Linked DNA regions of Nothobranchius furzeri. The protein of the gene in region 1 purifies or fractionates together with the protein of each later gene. This does not show direct contact. Links are inferred from orthologs where the notes say so. Each region holds a gene or a part of one and is shown on either strand. Other genes may lie near its edges. The genes, in order: nkx2.1 and foxa1.

What was found.
Region 2: the proteins of nkx2.1 (region 1) and foxa1 purify together in Homo sapiens (affinity purification with western blotting; 3 studies listed by BioGRID and IntAct, with this or other methods). This does not show direct contact. The link is inferred for Nothobranchius furzeri from reciprocal best matches to the Homo sapiens genes NKX2-1 and FOXA1.

Annotation. Positions count from the first base shown.
Region 1 is NC_091758.1:21,179,420-21,188,365, forward strand, and holds nkx2.1 (homeobox protein Nkx-2.1), read right to left. Parts: upstream 5,639-8,946; 5' UTR 5,301-5,638; coding exon 4,934-5,300; intron 4,489-4,933; coding exon 3,791-4,488; 3' UTR 3,300-3,790; downstream 1-3,299. UniProt on the Homo sapiens protein: Transcription factor that binds and activates the promoter of thyroid specific genes such as thyroglobulin, thyroperoxidase, and thyrotropin receptor. Crucial in the maintenance of the thyroid differentiation phenotype.
Region 2 is NC_091758.1:16,423,422-16,432,315, reverse strand, and holds foxa1 (hepatocyte nuclear factor 3-alpha), read left to right. Parts: upstream 1-3,452; 5' UTR 3,453-3,600; coding exon 3,601-3,666; intron 3,667-5,189; coding exon 5,190-6,359; 3' UTR 6,360-8,345; downstream 8,346-8,894. UniProt on the Homo sapiens protein: Transcription factor that is involved in embryonic development, establishment of tissue-specific gene expression and regulation of gene expression in differentiated tissues.

The DNA.
Region 1 (8,946 bases):
AAATAACGTGAATTTGAGATACTGTCCAACAAAATAATCACAACATATATGTGCCAAATGGAAAAAAGCCAAGGGTGATGAGCATTTTTACAGTGATATAAACACGGTGTTAGAAAATACAAGTAGTGTTTAATTTTAAATGCTCTGATTCCTGTCATTCATTGTAGTTGACAAACTTTTTGTATCTAAATCAACTTTTCGACTTAATTGATTCTAAATCTAAAAAAGAGACTTCACATTTTCTATGAACAAAGTAAATTAATTAAAAAATATCTTGTTGTGAGAGCTTGAACTCAAAAAGCTCTTGATTTGCATGTTGAGTTAATTCCTTTTCTTCTTCATCAGTTCCTTCATAGATGTCCCAAAAAGTTCAAATCACACCATCTTTGTTTGACACCTGACGTCAGAAGCGTGTCTAACTTATCTGGCTCTGGAGGCTGAACGTGACGGCTGTTAAGTGTTGGACTGAAAAATCCCGTAATTGGAGCCGAGCAAAATGAAGCGAAATTACAGCCAGTCCCATAGAGAAATGTTTCTTCAGAAGAAACAAAGCCAAACCAACACCGAAGATGTAAAAATGCACTTTGTTCCTAAGGGGGAGGGAGGGAGAAACGTATCCACTCAGTGAGCCCTGAATGCAGCATTTCATGCCTGCAACAATTATGCTGAAAGGTCAAGTGTTACAGCATCTTGTGCTTCGCTTTGCATGCAAAGTATTTCAGTTCACAAATGACCCTCGTTTGTACTCTTTGCACAATGGTTTGAAGAAGCAGATAAACGCAGGACAATTAAAGATTTTTGTTGCAGGCGCACAATAACATTCACCAAAGGGGTGATTGCGTTCGCGGTGTAATAGTCCTATTTGAAATGCAGGTCTGTGGAGATGAAATGTTTAGGAACTTTTAAAAAGTGGCAGAAGGTGGATTTGTTTACAAAAAAGAAAGGAAGGGTATCATTTTATAACACCGAAACAAAGTTAAAAGGAAATTGTTGCAACAAAACAGGCGCGTGCGCGTAGTTTAACAGGAGAGAGCAGTGACTGGGTTTTCAGCACCATGGACAGCTCCCCTACCCCACAAACACAGGCTCGTGCTTTACTTTTAGGTGTGACAAGGAACAAATGATGGACTTTGTGACTTTTTAATTTTCTTTTTTTGTTATTATTCAATGTGAACTTAATGTGATGGTGCCCAACTACACACAGGTAGAATAACGTTTTATTTGGTTGCGAGTCTGATATTTGGGATTTATTAGGACCGATGGAGGACTTTTAGATCAATAAGATGCAGATCCCAGTTAAATTTGAGTAATATTCAGTAAGTCGAATTAGAATAAGTCGAGAGTTTATTTCGAAGAAGGAATAAAAACAAGAACATTTTATTTTTTTAAGCCTGATCGTGTTTTACTGTTTGCGTTTATCCTGCTCGTTAGCTCTCCTCATATTTAATATCCGCTCAAACTTCAAAATCCTGTCGTAACAAGGCTTCACTCCTCGGCGACTCAGGGGATTCCCGGAGCTAAAGAGGCGAATAAAATTCTCCAGCTCGTCACTAACTCCAATATGATTACCTTGAGATTAGAGACTAATTGCTTGGGGTTGATGGAGACAGCCCGCCATAAAGCCAGGAGGACTCTGGGAGCTGCGCTGTGGTTTCCTACAAAGGAGAGCGATGAGAGCACACACGCTTCCAACAAGCAGCGCACAAAGACCACACACCGCGCCAAAGACATGTTAATGTAATCCCAAAGTTCTCACTCCTCCGCCGAACAAAACCCGCGCTGCAAAATAGCTAATAGAAGGTTGTTTCTGATGCTTGTTTAAGATTTCACTTAAAGCTTTTTTCTCCTGTGGCCTCGGTCTGTGTGTGCAGAGGAAGAGCTCAACCAACGAAAGTTTGGATTCACGATTTTAAAATAAAAGTTTACATTTTCAGAGTTTTACTGCATGGGTGAAAACCCTCTGGGTTATTGTTTATTTCGCTTTATGGAAAACCTGCGCAAAAGCAGAAGACGTGATTTTAATGTGTCAATCAAAAAAATAAAGTCTTATTCAGCTCTGAACCCTGTAGCATTTAGTCTGTCATTAATGACTGATTACTTTGGCAAAAAAAGATAAAAAATAACTGGATGTGAAAGGAAACGGAGGAGATAATAAACATTTACCCTAACGAGCCTGAGGAAAGATCATTATTTAGTCAGGTGCAGTCGACGATAATTAACGGATAATAAAAGACGGAAAAAAAATTACTTTGAGAAGACAAAATTGAATATTTGTGTGTTTTTTTCTGGGGGTTTTTTGGGGGTGGGGGTATTATTATGAAGTAATAACAAAATAGTAACGAACTTCTCAAACGTCTTCATTTTAGTAAAACATTAATAAAAACCATTTCAAATAGAAATGTTGAAAAATTATCCGAACTGGAGAACGCGTTTATTTGAAGAACGATGTTTCAAAATAAAAGAAAAAAAAAACACTTCCGTGTGTGTACAGAGATAGAACATCCTCCTCTAGCTGAGCGACTTCTTTTTGCGTGTTTTTATCTTCTCCACCCCAGCTTTTTCGCTCTCTAAAGAAAATCACCTGTCCACAACTCCGTTGCTTAGCAACCTGATTGTTTACTATTTAGAAAATGTAATGCCTAACTCCATCGCATGTCAGGAGAATAGTGTCTAATGTTTGTTTAAGGCTGTCGCTGCTTACCAAACCTGAAATGGAACAAATGATAGCCTCAAATTTACCAGAATAAAATACATTTAAATATTATTTAAACAGTTTTCATTCAGATTATTAAATTGGCCGTTTTTTAAATCCTCACATTTAATCGGTTATTGATGAAGCCGCTGACTGCCGCGCGCGTCCTTTCAGAGGAATTGTGCGCTGTTTGGTCATCGATAAGCCGCCCTTTGAGCCGCGTTGGTGTTTGATGTCAAGCGCGGAGGAACCTCACCTTTCTGCCTCACCCACGCGGGAGAAAACACACAGAGGGTAAATAAAAGCGCATAAAGGTCGAGTTTGCTCTGCAGGGCAGGTTAGAGCCGCGGCGCGAGCCTGAGCGGTGATTTATCAGCGAGGAGCAAAGAAAAGGATAAAGTTAATGTTTATCCCAGCGGTTATGCTTTCATATGTGTTCTTGTAACGAAAACAAAACATGTCCACATCAATAATGATAATAATAATAATAATAATAATAATAATAATAATAATAATAATAATAATAATACGTTTCTTCCTCAAAATAATTATTAGTAACTGCGTCACAGGCGCATTTCTGGATATACTTCACAAAAAAGTTTAAATGTCTTGTTTCCATAATTTATTAATAGGACTGTTTTGTAGTAAGTCAAATATCTATATAAGTTACAAAGAAATAAAACGTACAAATACCAATAAAACGACAACAAACCAGCAATATTGTCAAAAGCTTTGTACAACAAAGAGCTAGAACTCCAACCTTTTACAGAAATATACACGCTAGACCTACAGCTCACACTGATTCTAATAAATCCTGTTCGTCTGGGTTTCACAGCACCTTTCAGTCCGGTCGTGTTCGTGCGTCCCTGCTCAGGTTCGGGTTCCCAGCTATCTGACTACTGAATCTTCTTTTGACTCAATATAATTTACATAAATAATCCCAATAAATCCGCAGTTTTTGGGAGATAAATGAGTTTTTTCCCCCCTTTCGAAAGGGCCGAAGTCTCTCGGGCTTTTAAGTTCACTCGCGCGCATTTACAATAAAAACCTGCCGAGTTTTATCAGATAAATAGATTGGATTCAAATGAGCTCCTCTTGTCACCACGTCCTGCCGTACAACAGGGCCGAACACTGCAGGGCCGAACCGTACTCCGCTCCGGGGGAGTTGAGGTGGGAGAGGCCGGCCACCTGACTCTGTAGGGACGGCGGACTGGAAGAGTGCTGTGCCATGTCAGGGGAGTGACCCGTGCTCCCTACTTGCTGGTTCTGGTGCTGCCCGAGGCCGGAGGCGTTGTTGGACATGATCATGACATTGCCTCCCTGCTGGTGGTGCGTTTGCGCTGTGGACGTGGGCGTGTGGCCGCTGCCTTGGCACGGCTTCCCGTCCTTCACCAGCACCGGCACGGCCACCCTCCGTGGGGACTGCTGCTGCTGCTGCTGCTGCTGCTGCTGCTGCTGCTGGCACGAGCCGCTGTCCTGCTGCATCTGCTGCTGGGACACTTTGTCTTTAGCCTGTCTCTTCATCTTGTAGCGATGGTTCTGGAACCAGATTTTCACCTGGGTCGGCGTGAGGTGGATCATGCTCGCCAGGTGCTCCCTCTCCGGCGCCGACAGGTATTTTTGCTGCTTGAAGCGCCGCTCCAGCTCGTACACCTGCGCCTGGGAGAAGAGCACGCGCCGTTTCCTTCTCGGGGTGCTAGACAGGGAGCCCATGCCTTTACCCACGTCCGCCAGGGAGCTGAGGCTGCCCATACTTCCCATGTTCATGCCCGACGATGAGCCCATGAAGCGAGAAACTGGGGAAAATATCAGAATGGAAATCAAACTCAGATTTATTCACAGCAAATATGGACCAGCTACTGCGTAAAATCATTACAAGTTTACTTCACATTAACATAATTTGGAACATCATTACAAAAACTTAAGTGTTATTTAGGGAGGTGCGTATTTGTTAGACCTAATAACCTCCCATCATGTTTAATGTTTGAAAATGGTAAAAATAATAATAATAAAAAAAATCATTTTAAATAACTTCCATTGACGCTCAGACTTAAATCTGACCCAGACCTTGGGATTTATAATAAGTGAAACGCACCGGGATCTAAATTACACTGGTTTTTACGCACAAGCAGACCTGAAATAGTTCCAATAAAACACAGCCAGGGCGCACACATCTGGATTCTGGTCATTACGCACAGATCTGAAGCGCATAGGGTCCAAATACCGGTACCGGATACTCACTGGTGGAGAAGCGCGGATCTGGGTTGGCTCCGTACCAGCCGGTGGCCGTGGCGCTGCTCCTCATGCCGTCCTGGTACGCCGGCAGGTCGCCCATGTTGCCCAGGTTGCCGTTACAGTAGCCGCCCATGGCCGTGTGTGACAGCTGGGAGACACCTGCCGCCGTCATGTGATAAGCCGCAGACACAGTCCCGTTGTGGCCCATGTGGTGCTGCTGCATCGCCGCCTGAGAGACCTGCGGCTGTCGGTAAGAAGTGAGAGGTGCCCCCAAGTTGTTATTCTCCATACTTACTTTCTTATAGCTCTCCTCAAGGGGACTCAAGATATCGGAAACAGAAAAAGGAGTCGTATGCTTAGGGCTCATCGACATTGTTCTGTGGCTGGAGAGGGAGAAATTAGAAGGCAAGGCAATCTCTCCTTCTCTCTCCCTTTTTTTTTTTTTTTTTTTTTTTGGCCAAAGCCCCTCTGGTTCCTGTTGTCTCAACGTCGATCCTGGTAGATGAAGACGTAGGAGAGCGCCTCAAGTCCGCCTTAATTGGATTGAGTGGGAGCTCGGTGCTGGCTTTGGTTTGTTTTAGCCGGGTGCCAGGTTTAATGCTACCATCAGAGGCGGGGCATCAGCAACAATACAAAACAGCTCTACTCTGCTTTTTTTCTTCTTTTTTTCTGAGCGTAATTTCACTATAGTAGACATGTGCTCTCCTCCCCTCCCACCAACACCGATGCTCATCCCGACTGATGCGGAAGCTGCATGCCGAGTTTGTGACTTGTCGCTGCACCTCGGGACTGCAGTGACCACAATACACTTTATTAACTGTAGTGATGTTTACGAGGGCCTCTTGAAGAAAAGGAGGCCTATATGGACTTGAGAGTTGGAGAACCACTTCTCAGCTGAACTACTGACTTTTAATGGCCACGAGAGGCCTCCAGTGATTGCAGGATTGTTTGTGTTATGCCTTATCGTACTCAGACATGCAAAAGTGCACTTGCGGGGAGGGAAAATGACTGATACTGATAAGTAAATAAATACACATCTGCGTGTTAAGTGCTGCGTAAATGATTAACCCCCCTGCTTTCTTTTCATTTTCCTTCTTGATGTCAGTGGACGAGATGCTACCTAAAATTCAGATGTGCTCTAGAAAAGAGGTAGGAGGGGGAAACGAGTCTGGTGCAGGAGAGGCTCTCGTGTGAAGTTAACGATGTTCAAGTAGCTCCTCTCCTGGAGCACGAGGCCAGGTAGCCCTGAGAAAGGGTCTTAATGCTGCAGAAGAACTTACTTTATTATTATTATTATTATTATTATTATTATTAAATTATTATTATTATTTATAATGCGGAAGTATTATTTAGGGAGCAAAGTACCCTAAACCTTAAGGTCACCCTAATGTTTATTATTAGCCCACTTGTAATTTAAAAAAAATATTTAAAAAAATTCAAGGCAGCGATTATTATTATTACTATTTTATCATAATAATAATAATAATAATAATAATAATAATAATAATAATAATAATAATAATAATAATAATAATAATAATAATAATAATAATAATAATAGTAATAATGGGTTGCAAGCTCTTTTTTATTTTTTCAGTAAATTGTTGAAGGCAGAAGGACTCAAATAGTTTATGAAAAGCTTGTGAGAAAACACGCGACGACTTTAAACCGACACGACCTGAATAGAATAGAATAGAATAGAATAGAATAGAATAGAATAGAATTGAAAATCCGAAGGCACAACAAAACGGAGGAGTTACAGAATTGAGGCAGTAATGAACTCGTTGAGACTGAAATAATAATATAAGCAATAACAGAATATTTGGGGTTTTAAAACTCTTTCAGGGTCTGTGGTTGCAGGTTAGAGATCACAGAATCTTCTGGTGGCAGCAGTTCTCAGCAGTGACACAGGGTCTGCTTGACTGCTGGTTCTTAACTTTGATTTATTCGAGCATGCGCTGCACACTGGGATCTGGTATTGTGAGTATGCAGATCAGTGAGTTTGTCCCTTGGAAAGACGGCATGTTCATAAATAAAGTATCACAACAATTCTCATCTTCGTCATCCAAACGCGTCTTTAATGAAGCATCTTAATCATCATCATCGTCATCATCATCATACGGATGAGATAACGCATTGTTACAATCAGAGCATCTGTATAGGGCACATCACAACATAAGGCAAATAAAACACAGCTAAATCTCGCATATGCATTCCTTAATTAGAGAATCCAGCAAGACATCCTTAATCATCTAAATCAGCGCCTTTCCCTCCGCTCCGACGCACACTTATTAGGACCAATTAGCGCCAATTAGTCCAAATGTTGCGGCTAATTCCTCAGAATAATGAGAACACTAAGACAGAGGCGGGAATGAAACAATCGAGCTGCGGTGATCCAGGCTGCATGGTTTCGGGAACTGATTGGTGCATGATCTAATTCACCGGAAGCGGGAACAATTAGACCGGGAGGCTGTTTTCAGGAGTCTAAACCGTTCCCGGAGAGATTACTGCCAATAAAATACAGCAGATTATTACATAAATAAAAGTTTGATGTCATTCACGAAAATGTTTTGATCTTTTTATTGTCAGGTTGTCAGGGTGACGCTCTTAACTTAAAAATAAAAAGAAATAATTCATATGTTAAAATACAAAATGTGGATTTCTGAGCCTAATGTCAAACACAGTTCATCATCATCATCATCATCATCATCATTATTATTATTATTATTATTATTATTATTATTATTATTATTATTATTGATTTTGTTGTTGTTGTTGTTGGTGGTGGTGGTCCAAAAGGTTTAGATGTTCATCTCACAAATAAATTTTTTTTACAAAATTTGGATAAAGTATCTTAAATTTCCCACCAATTAAGCTCCAAGTCTTAAATCATATTCACACAGAAAAATCTCCCTTCTAAAAAAAACAATAACGATTTTTACAATAACGATAAAAATATCAAAATAAAACATGAGGACAATAACTCATTTTTTGTGTACAAGTTTCAGAACCAGTTAGCACCAAATCTGTCCCCCTGAACAACCAATCATGAGGTTTTTAACCCAGCATGTGGACGTCTTCATCACTTAAACACGAGGATTTAGCGTCAGGAAGCTTTACGTCACGTGACGTTGCCAGGCAATTTTTGCAGCTATAGAAGAGTTTTTTTAAACTTAATTTATTCCTCCAGGGGAGCACGGCCTCTTGTGGAGCAGAAACTCCCTCCACCTGGGTCATGAGGAGAATCAGAGGTTCTCCATGGTGATACAGAGTGTTGTTCCGCCATCTAGTGGAGAGCAGAGATCCTGAGCCACAAAAATACCCAGAGACACGTGACACTAAATAACAACTGAGACATTTAAGAAAATGTAATATCTTATTCCTATGCTATACATTTACTCAAATGATAATAATAACGTTATAAATATGCTAACAAATGCGCATGTTGTAGTTACCTGTGGGCTATTTGTAGAGGTGATATCAGGACACATTGGGGCTCTACCCAGACTTTGGAGTCTTGTTGATTCCAACTCCAGCAACACTAAACAGAAGGTCTGGCACATTAAACTCCTCAAAGTCCATTTTTAAGTGTGTTCAATTAACATTTGATTGTAATAAAAATAGATATGTGTATGAGTTATCAATTGAATTCAATTCAGTTTATTTATATATCGCCAAATCCTGACAAGAGTTGTCTCAAAGCCCATCACACAGTACACATTCCAATACAGGTCAGTTCATTAAGCCAATCAGTAAAAAGTTTCCTATATAAGGAACCCAGCAAATTTCAGTAAAGTCACAGCAATTCTCATCCTAAGCAAGCATTTGGTGACTGTGGAGAGGAAAACTCCCTTTTAACAGGAAGGAACCTCCAGAGGATCCTGGCTCAGTATAAGCAGCCATCCACCACGACTCACTGGGGATCGAGAAGACAGAGCAGACACACACACACACACACACACACACACACACACACACACACACACACACACACACACACACACACACACACGCGCACA
Region 2 (8,894 bases), about 4.8 Mb from region 1:
TCATCCCTTAGGTTGATTGATTCTACATGAGAAGTGCAGAAATCATAATTTGTTTCAAAATGTTTCTCCCACTCACTTATCTTCTGAACGGCTTTTCTCCACTAGGATGTCCATTAGGGAGCTGTCGAACTCCAGCAGTCACCAAGTGAGGGGTGGAGGACACCCTGGACAGGCCTCCAGTCCATCACACAACCAGTCACACAGTCACTTGGGTCTCCCTTTTTTTAGAGTCGCCAATGAACCTGCCTGAACTATCTGGTTTTCGTCTGTGGGAGAAAACCCGCACATGCATGAGGAGAACATTGTAACTCCACGTAGGAAGCCTCAGTCTCCTCCTCTTCTGGTTGGCTCACGGGTCTCCGGAAGAACAACAACAGGAATGGAAGTGAATGGGGCTACTAATAAATGGATGGATGAATATGTTTTTTTAAGTGTCATGCACAACACGTTCCCAGCTCATGTGGGCTTCTAAGGCACTATTTAACAGAAACAAGTGGCCATCTCAGGAACACTCCGTGGCGCGGGGGTGGGGGTGGGGGGCTTCAGATACACGCCACTCCTCGACTCCGCTGGTTTTGTGTTTAATCTTCCACATGAAGACAAGGTTAGGTCAGTCAAAGCTGTCAAAAATTAGCTAGAAGGACTTTGAAGCAGCAATGCTGAGATTTGGTGGGATGGAGCTTGAAAAAAAATTCCTTGAGTTGATTCTTGTATTAATTTTTTTCTTTCTTTTAAGGGAAGGGGTGTTATGGCTGGTGCCTTTTTGCCCTGGGAACTGGGGGCTCAGAGCTCCCATTGACGTCATCGCCTGCCCTGAAGGAGAAATGGACAGAACCTTAGCGCTCCCATTAAAGTTGCTTTCTACTCCACTTTGCTTTACACCCTGGATCACACATATGTTGTACTTCAGTTTAACTGAAAATAATTGTGTGTGTTTTGACTATGTCTGCCTCGTGTTTTGAAATATGCTAGCTTGTAAAAATTCCTGATTAAAATGACTACAAATGAGATTTCACATACACGACATCACAGCGTAATCTCTTCTCCCCTAGCGTAACTGCTACTTACCACATGACCAGATTTATAGCAGTTTTTTCCACGTTTATTGCTCCTTCTGTCATCCTGGAAGAAGGATTCAAAGCTCGCTAAACTCACAGCTATTTTCTTCTCTGTGCTGGTCGATGATGTCAGCATGGTGAGATGCATTTGTAGTCCGATGTGTCTTTTCACACAAAACCTGAAATAACTTTTGCCGCCGTTGGAAATCTTGGCATCTAAATGTGTTTTAAATTCATGAACATCATACGTGAAATCCACGGCACGTATCAAACGCGATGTGAAGATACCTTCAACAGCCCCATTGACTTGCAATACATTTTCTTATTTCTGTGGACCCATGGTCTGGAAGTAGATGGGCCTGACTTAGGCTTCCTGTGTGTGTGTGTGTGTGTGTGTGTGTGTGTGTGTGTGTGTGTGTGTGTGTGTGTGTGTGTGCGTGCGCGTGCGTGCGTGTGTGTGTGCGTGTGTGTGTGCGTGTGTGCGTGTGTGTGTGTGTGTGTGTGTGTGTGTGTGCGTGCGCGTGCGTGCGTGCGTGTGTGTGTGTGTGTGTGTGTGTGTGTGTGTGTGTGTGTGTGTGTGTGTGTGTGTGTGTGTGTGTGTGTGTGTGTGTGTGTGTGTGTGTGTGAAGAACATGTTAACTCTACAGGTGAAGAACATGACTACAGGTGAGTCAGCACTGACCTGAACATCAATCTCAGACAGGATCCAGATCTTTGTTCTTACACAAGTTCTGGTCTAAAGACTACAAGTGCTGCAGAGGATGAGCCCATTGGTCCAGATCCAAACTACCATGATCAGATTCAGATCCAACCAGGTTTGGTTCTCAGACACCTGAGTCCTTCAGGACATCTGTGATTTTCCGTGGTGGACTTAAAACCAATATGGGTGAAAGCTCTGAACTGAACTGATCTAAACCCATCTGGACTTGGTTTACAAAAGATAGATTCTCTAGACACAGGTCCAGGACCAGAACTCAAATGAGTTACCGTACATCTTCTGAAACACTCAAACCCGATATGATCTGTAAATAGAACTTTTTTGAGTTCATAGAAGGGATTTTTTCATATCTGTGGTACCAGTGGACCCCATCAGAACCAAAAACAATTGGATCCCCTTTCAAACGCTGAATGTTTTCCTCCAGAGGTGGTTCTTGTTAGTCAAACTTTTGTTCTGGTTATGACAATAATAGGAATCGAGGAATCTAGTCTTCATTTGCCCCCCAACCCCCGAACCCCCTCCTCGGTCTTTGTGTCCTCTTAGTCTTTCGTTAGTGAGTGTCCTATAATCCAGCGCCTCATCCAGTTAATCCAGTCAGATAATGGTGAACAGTGAGCAGTTGTTCCAGTCTGTTACTTCCTCATTAACAGATTTAAACCACCAGACTGGGACCAGTCCTCAGAAAACCAGATCACAAACTCATCAGTTACACCATTAAGGTCACAAAACGTGAAAATCAAACAAAATAAAGATTATGAATGGATAATGTAAAGTTCAGAGAACAAACTAATGACCTTTATTTCCTTTATTATTGTAACTAATAAGAACAATGTATTATTATTATTATTAATAATAAATAAAGAACAGACATTTTGAATTATCTCCTGATTTTTGACTAAAGAATATTATCGCCAAACTGATGTTTTAAAATTTTATTTAAATTAAACTTATTCTGCACATCATTATTGTCCAGATTATTCTTTGGTTGTGTCGAAAACACAGAAAATTGATGTTCAGATGCAAAAGATTCAGACTGATATAATCAATTTTGTCTGTCTTTTGTCTGATCCTTATCAAACTTTTATTTTGAAATGGGAAGTCAGTTTTATTCGTTTAAGTGTTTGTAAAATGATTTTATTCACAAAGAGGATTAATCTTAATCAGACCATCGGGTCTGTGAAGTGATTTTAATATTCTGGGTTTATTATTTATGGTTTATTTAGTTTATTCCTTCAAAATAAAACATGACAGTCAGACACATTTTGTGTAAGAAAACGTAAATCACACTTATTATTATTTTTTTGTTGTTAATGTGAAATGGATGGCTTAGTCAGTTTAATCAAAACGCTCCAGACGTGATCTTTCACAGGATCAGAGTTTTATTGTTTAATTATTTAAAATTTCAATTTCCAGAAATTTGGTGATTTAGTGAAAATATTTTAGATTTACATCTTTAATTTCTACACATTCGTTTGATCTCCAAAACATCCAGAACCCGCTCGGTTCGGTTCGATTTCAACACAGCAGCAACACGAGTGTGTGTGTGCGTGTGTGCGCGTGCGTGCGTGCGAGTGTGTGTGTGTGTGTGTGTGTGTGTGTGTTTTGGGTGGATGGGGGGGAGGGTCCAGAGGGCTGGACCTGGAGGAAAGGGATCACATCAGACCCTCAGACCGCAGGTCACCATCATCATCTCCTCCTCCTCCTCCTCCTCCTCACCCTTCCTCCCTCACTTGCCCGCGCGCCTCCACCTGAACAGGGACGCATCTGGACCGGTCGGACCGAAGCGGGTCAGCAGGATCCGTGCTCCGGGCCAGGACTACCGTGATGCTGGGCTCGGTGAAGATGGAAGGTCATGAAGCTCCGGACTGGAGCGGATACTACAGCGAAGAGGTCGGTTCCGGCTCGGTTCGGTCTGACACAAACGGTTTATTACAATAGGCAATGTAAAAATAAAAGTGCCTGCGCGAGCACAATTAGTGAGTTAGGATCAGAAATAGTTTGTTAAATTTTCTAAAGCTCCTCTAAAGTAAATTTAACACGAAACCGAACCTGGTTCCAGAACCAGATCACAAGTTCGGAGTTTGAACACCAAGATTTTTGTTAGATCAGTTAGAGATTTAATTATTAAATCAGATTTGTGAAGGAAAGTGAAGAAAGCATGTAGCTTCATCAAGTTTACGGTAAAAAGCATGGCAGATAAAACGAGTAAATAAAAACGAATTAAACCAAAAACATTCTCTGGTTAAACCTTAATTGTCTCTAAATTTATGAGGAACAAAAACAATTAAAAACAAATCAAACCAGTGAACAAAACGTGTTTTCTGTTGGTAAAAAACGGCCTGTTTTCACATTGTTTGTTTTTGTTTTTTCAGGGTTTGCTGTGGCTAAAATATACAACACTAAAGTATTTATGATTATTGATGATAATGTAATCTGTTTGTTTTTAATGATATTCAAGTAACTGCTGTTCGGGTTTTCAGAATAAAATTAATCTGAAAACGAGAAAAAAATTATAAAGTTTCAAAAAAGTAAATGTTGCTGATGGTTCGGATGATTTATTCCATGTTTTATTTTTTCACCTGGAAATTTTATTTTTATTAGCTGCTGATTGTTGCCCTCAGCCTGAATGAGATTTAAAAATGTACTTTACTTTAAGCTCTGAAATGATCAAAATAAACTAATAATGAACCATTAATTAAATAAACTTTTATTATATAAAAATGTCTTTATTCAGTTACAAAACGGATCTGATGTAAAAGCATTAATTAAAATATTAAACATAAAATTTAATCAGTTTAAAACAGTGACCTGCTTAAAAAGGAACAATATTTATGTATTAATTATTATTATTATTATTATTATTATTATTATTATTATTATTTAATTTGAAGTTTTTGATTAAAAAAATATATATACATATTTTATATTAAATTTTAACACAGGCTAGGGCCAAAACAACATATTTCTCATTAATCATGAAACTTTATTTATTTTCCAACAGAACTCTAAACACGTTTTGAAAATGTTCTGAATTTATTTTTATCCATGAGGAGTTTGATAAAATGAGACTGCAGAAGAGAAGTCAGAAAACAGCTTTCTGATTAGTTCTAATGCAGTTTATGTTTAAAGCTCCATAAACAAACAGGTTTGAGCTTTTACAAACCTTTGATCTGCTATGGTCTCACTGGACCTTCCGACTTATTTCAGACTAAGTCTTGTCTGATTGATGCTGGATGTTCAGATGGTTCTGATTTAAATGGGTCAGATCTGGTTAAAGTGATTTTAATTGTCTGATTGATCTGGTTCTGTGTGTTCTAGACCATTTTAACCCTCTACTGTGTCTGACTGGTCTTGATAAGCCCTGACAGATTCTGTTCCTTGGGTCCCACCAGCTCTGCTGTGTCTTGTTGCAGGTGTACTCTCCAATGGCAGGCAGTGGGATGGGTTCTGGTCTCGGGATGGCTTCCATGTCAGGCTACATGTCCAGCAACGGGACCACATCTGGCTCCTTCAACATGTCCTACAATGGTACTGGTCTGAATCCTTCCTCAGTAGGGGGGGTAGGAGGCTCAGCTCCGGCACCCATGTCGAGTCTGGGGGGCGGGATGGCTTCCATGGGTGGGGCTTTGAGTCCATCCGGTGTGGGCTCAGTGTCGGCTCAGCAGGCCTCCATGGGCCTGAACCCCTATGGGGGCATGAGTCCCACCATGAGCTCCAGCATGGCCTTCAGTGGAGGTGGGCTGAACCGGACCCGGGACCAGAAAACGTTCAGAAGGAGCTACCCGCATGCCAAGCCGCCCTACTCCTACATTTCTCTCATCACCATGGCGATCCAGCAGGCGCCCAGTAAGATGCTGACTCTGAGTGAGATCTACCAGTGGATCATGGACCTGTTCCCATACTACCGGCAGAACCAGCAGCGCTGGCAGAACTCCATCCGACACTCGCTCTCCTTCAACGACTGTTTTGTCAAAGTGTCTCGCTCGCCGGACAAACCAGGGAAGGGTTCCTACTGGACCCTGCACCCCGACTCTGGGAACATGTTTGAGAACGGCTGCTACCTGCGGCGGCAGAAGAGGTTCAAGTGTGAGAAAAAGATGTCGGTGAAGGGAGACGTCAGGAAGGACCAGATGGTTTCTGGTGGAGGTCAGGGATCCTCTCATGCAGGGGAGTCCACCAAACCCAGTGGACTTCTGGATTCTCCTGTGGCCTCCTCCAGCCAAGTGTCCTCCCACCCTGGTCTGGACCTCAGGGAGGGGGTTGGAGGGGTCTCAGACCTGAAGGTGTCCAGCTCTCAGTTACTGTCTTCATTGTCCCTGCCCCCTCATTCCCTGGCCCACGAGACCCCTTTGCACATCAAAGGAGACCCCCACTATTCCTTCAACCACCCGTTTTCTATCAACAACCTCATGTCGTCCTCAGAGCAGCAGCACAAACTGGACCTGAAGGCCTACGAGGCCCTTCAGAACTCTTCTTACAGCAGTGGGGGCATGTCTGGTCTCTCAGGGAGGACCATGGAGACGCTGGAGGCCTCGTACTACCAGGGGATGTATCCCAGACCCCTGCTGAACAGCTCGTCGTAGCTGCCCGGCCCAGACCTTCTGCATGCAGCTGAACGGGACTCCTGCACTGTGACCATTTTATCATGCTGACGTTTCAGTCTGAGCCAATAAACACTGATCCCAGGTCTGCGGTCTCCTCACACACAGAAACTGCTGAAATGGATTTAGAATCCTGGAAAAGTAAACAGTCTTAAGGAATGTCAAAGGTCACATTCGATTCCTGACAGCAGAGTCCCCCTAAAACCAAGACCTCATGGTCCATGACTGTTGGGAGACGCGTCCCTGTTGGACTCAGGTTCCGTTGATCATCTCGTTACAGAACGATCGGGTTATTTTTCAGCAGAAAATTTGTCCGAAAGTGTCTGAATTTTGTCCGGTTTCTTTCAGCATCTGTCCTCCAGCTCCTCCAAAAGTCGTTTCACATTTCTACGCTTTCTGACTCCTGGAAACCAAACTGAGACAGATCCAGACAGGTTCTAGATGGGTCCCAGAGCTGGACCCAGTGAGAGAAAATTTGTCTTGAATATGAAAATTCTCTATTGAATATGTTCAAAATTCCAGCCTCTTGACAGTGAGACCCTGAGACTCATGAGAGCAAACCCTGGAGAACATTTTCGTATGTTCTGTAAAGTCTTTCTGTCTCCAACAGTCATGCCCGGGTGAAATCCTGGTTTTAGAACTCTGCTGATGCTGCGGTTCTTGTCTGGATTCTTCTACGAGGACCAGATGACCCAACCAGTCTGACCTGGACTCTGTGGTCCTCTTCTTGATCTGGTCAGGACAGTTTGGCATCAGGGTCCTGGACCTGGGTCTGAGTCTGAAGTCGGGTTCAGAGATGAACGTTTTGATTCTGTCAGCAGATCTGAGTTCTGGATCCTGAAGTAAAAACCTTGAACCTGAACTTGGTCCAGGAACTGGACCATAGAGACCAGATCAGAGGTCCCCTCAGCTCTGCTGTCAGTGCTTCAGGTCCAGATCCAGGATGTGTCGGTGGCAGCAGAACCGGTTCATCCTGTGATCGGACCTTTAACGGACCAGCTGAACTATAGATCTCTGACCCTGACCCAGAACTGGTTCTGTCCCGGTCAGGTTTGTTTACCTGATGATGTTGTCCTGGAAACGTTTACAGGGATGGATCACAGAATCATCAGGAAGACGAGGATCTAAATCTCCCACGACCTCGTCTGTCTCCCAGCTGACCTCTTGAAGGGTCATGACCCCCAGTTTGACAATCCCATCGCTGGACCCCCCCCCCCCCCCCCCACACACACACACACACACACTTTTGAATCTCTGATCGTGTCTTCAAAGTTAAAGTTCAGCTGCTGGGAGAGAAAATATAAAACACACATAATAACGTTGGTTCTGTTTAACCCCGAGAAAGTTCTAATTAACCAATTATTCCTAATTTAATCAACCCAGAACATTTATTTAAATGAGTCAAAATCAGTAAAACAGCTTTGATAAAAAAGAAATTCTAAAACTAAAAAAGTGAAAGAAAAACAAAAAATACATTTTATTTAGTCAATAAAAAATCTGCTGACTGCACGAGGAAGTGGCTCAGCCCAACACATTCAGAACCCCTACAGAACCAGAACCAGCGCATCACAGACCAAACCCAGAAGCACCGCAGCTGATCTGTTTTTACTGAGCATGAGATCCGGACCGACCCAAACAGCTGACCCAGAATCAGCCTAAACATCCTGTCCCTCTGGTTTAATGTCCTCCGACCCGGTTCCGCAGACCCAGTTCCACCTGTCTTAATTTAATTTATAAGGAACCAGCTGATGAGCCCAGATCTGAGCAGCAGAACCAGAACCAGAACCAGGCTCTGATGGTGTGTGATTCAGTCTTATATTGGTTGTGTGCATGAATGAGGGGAGAGGTTTCCCGCTGAGTCGGGTCTGTGTTGCTTTTGGACTCTGATGCATGTTCTTAACTTAATGTGTCACTTTTAAATAAAACAAACCGGAAACAATAAAGTTTGTTTCTTTTCTTCTGAGTTCAGACTTTAGAACATGCGCGTGACCATTCTCCACCCGATTTAGATCAAAACAAATTAAACGTAAACAGTTTGTGTGTGTTCGCACATCAGAACCAAATAGCTGATATCAAGTTTCGTTTGAAGAAGAGGTCATTTTGGTTTTAGTGCTAAAATAAAACATTGCTTGTCCAAAATGGGGTCCGAGAGCCGCAGGCGGACCGGTTTTAATTCAAATTAACTAACATTTTTTTAATTTTTTTAACGAATTGTTGAAACATTCCTGTTAGGAAATCAGAGGCTAATTTTAAATAGTTTTGAAATAAAGACATCAGCTCATATGAGACAGAATAAAATATAGATAATAATAATAAAAGTCAAATGGAAATAGGCTAATATATTCTCTTAATCAGCGGACAAAATAAAAGAGAATGTTTTCAAGTCACGAGACCCGGTTCCGTCTCAAATTCGGCCAAGCTCGCAGTGATCCTGAACCGGAAAACGCGCACTTTAAGGCGTTTTGGCTCCGGTGATCCCGGAATTATCCGCTCATTAGGCGCAGAAACTGTAGCGGA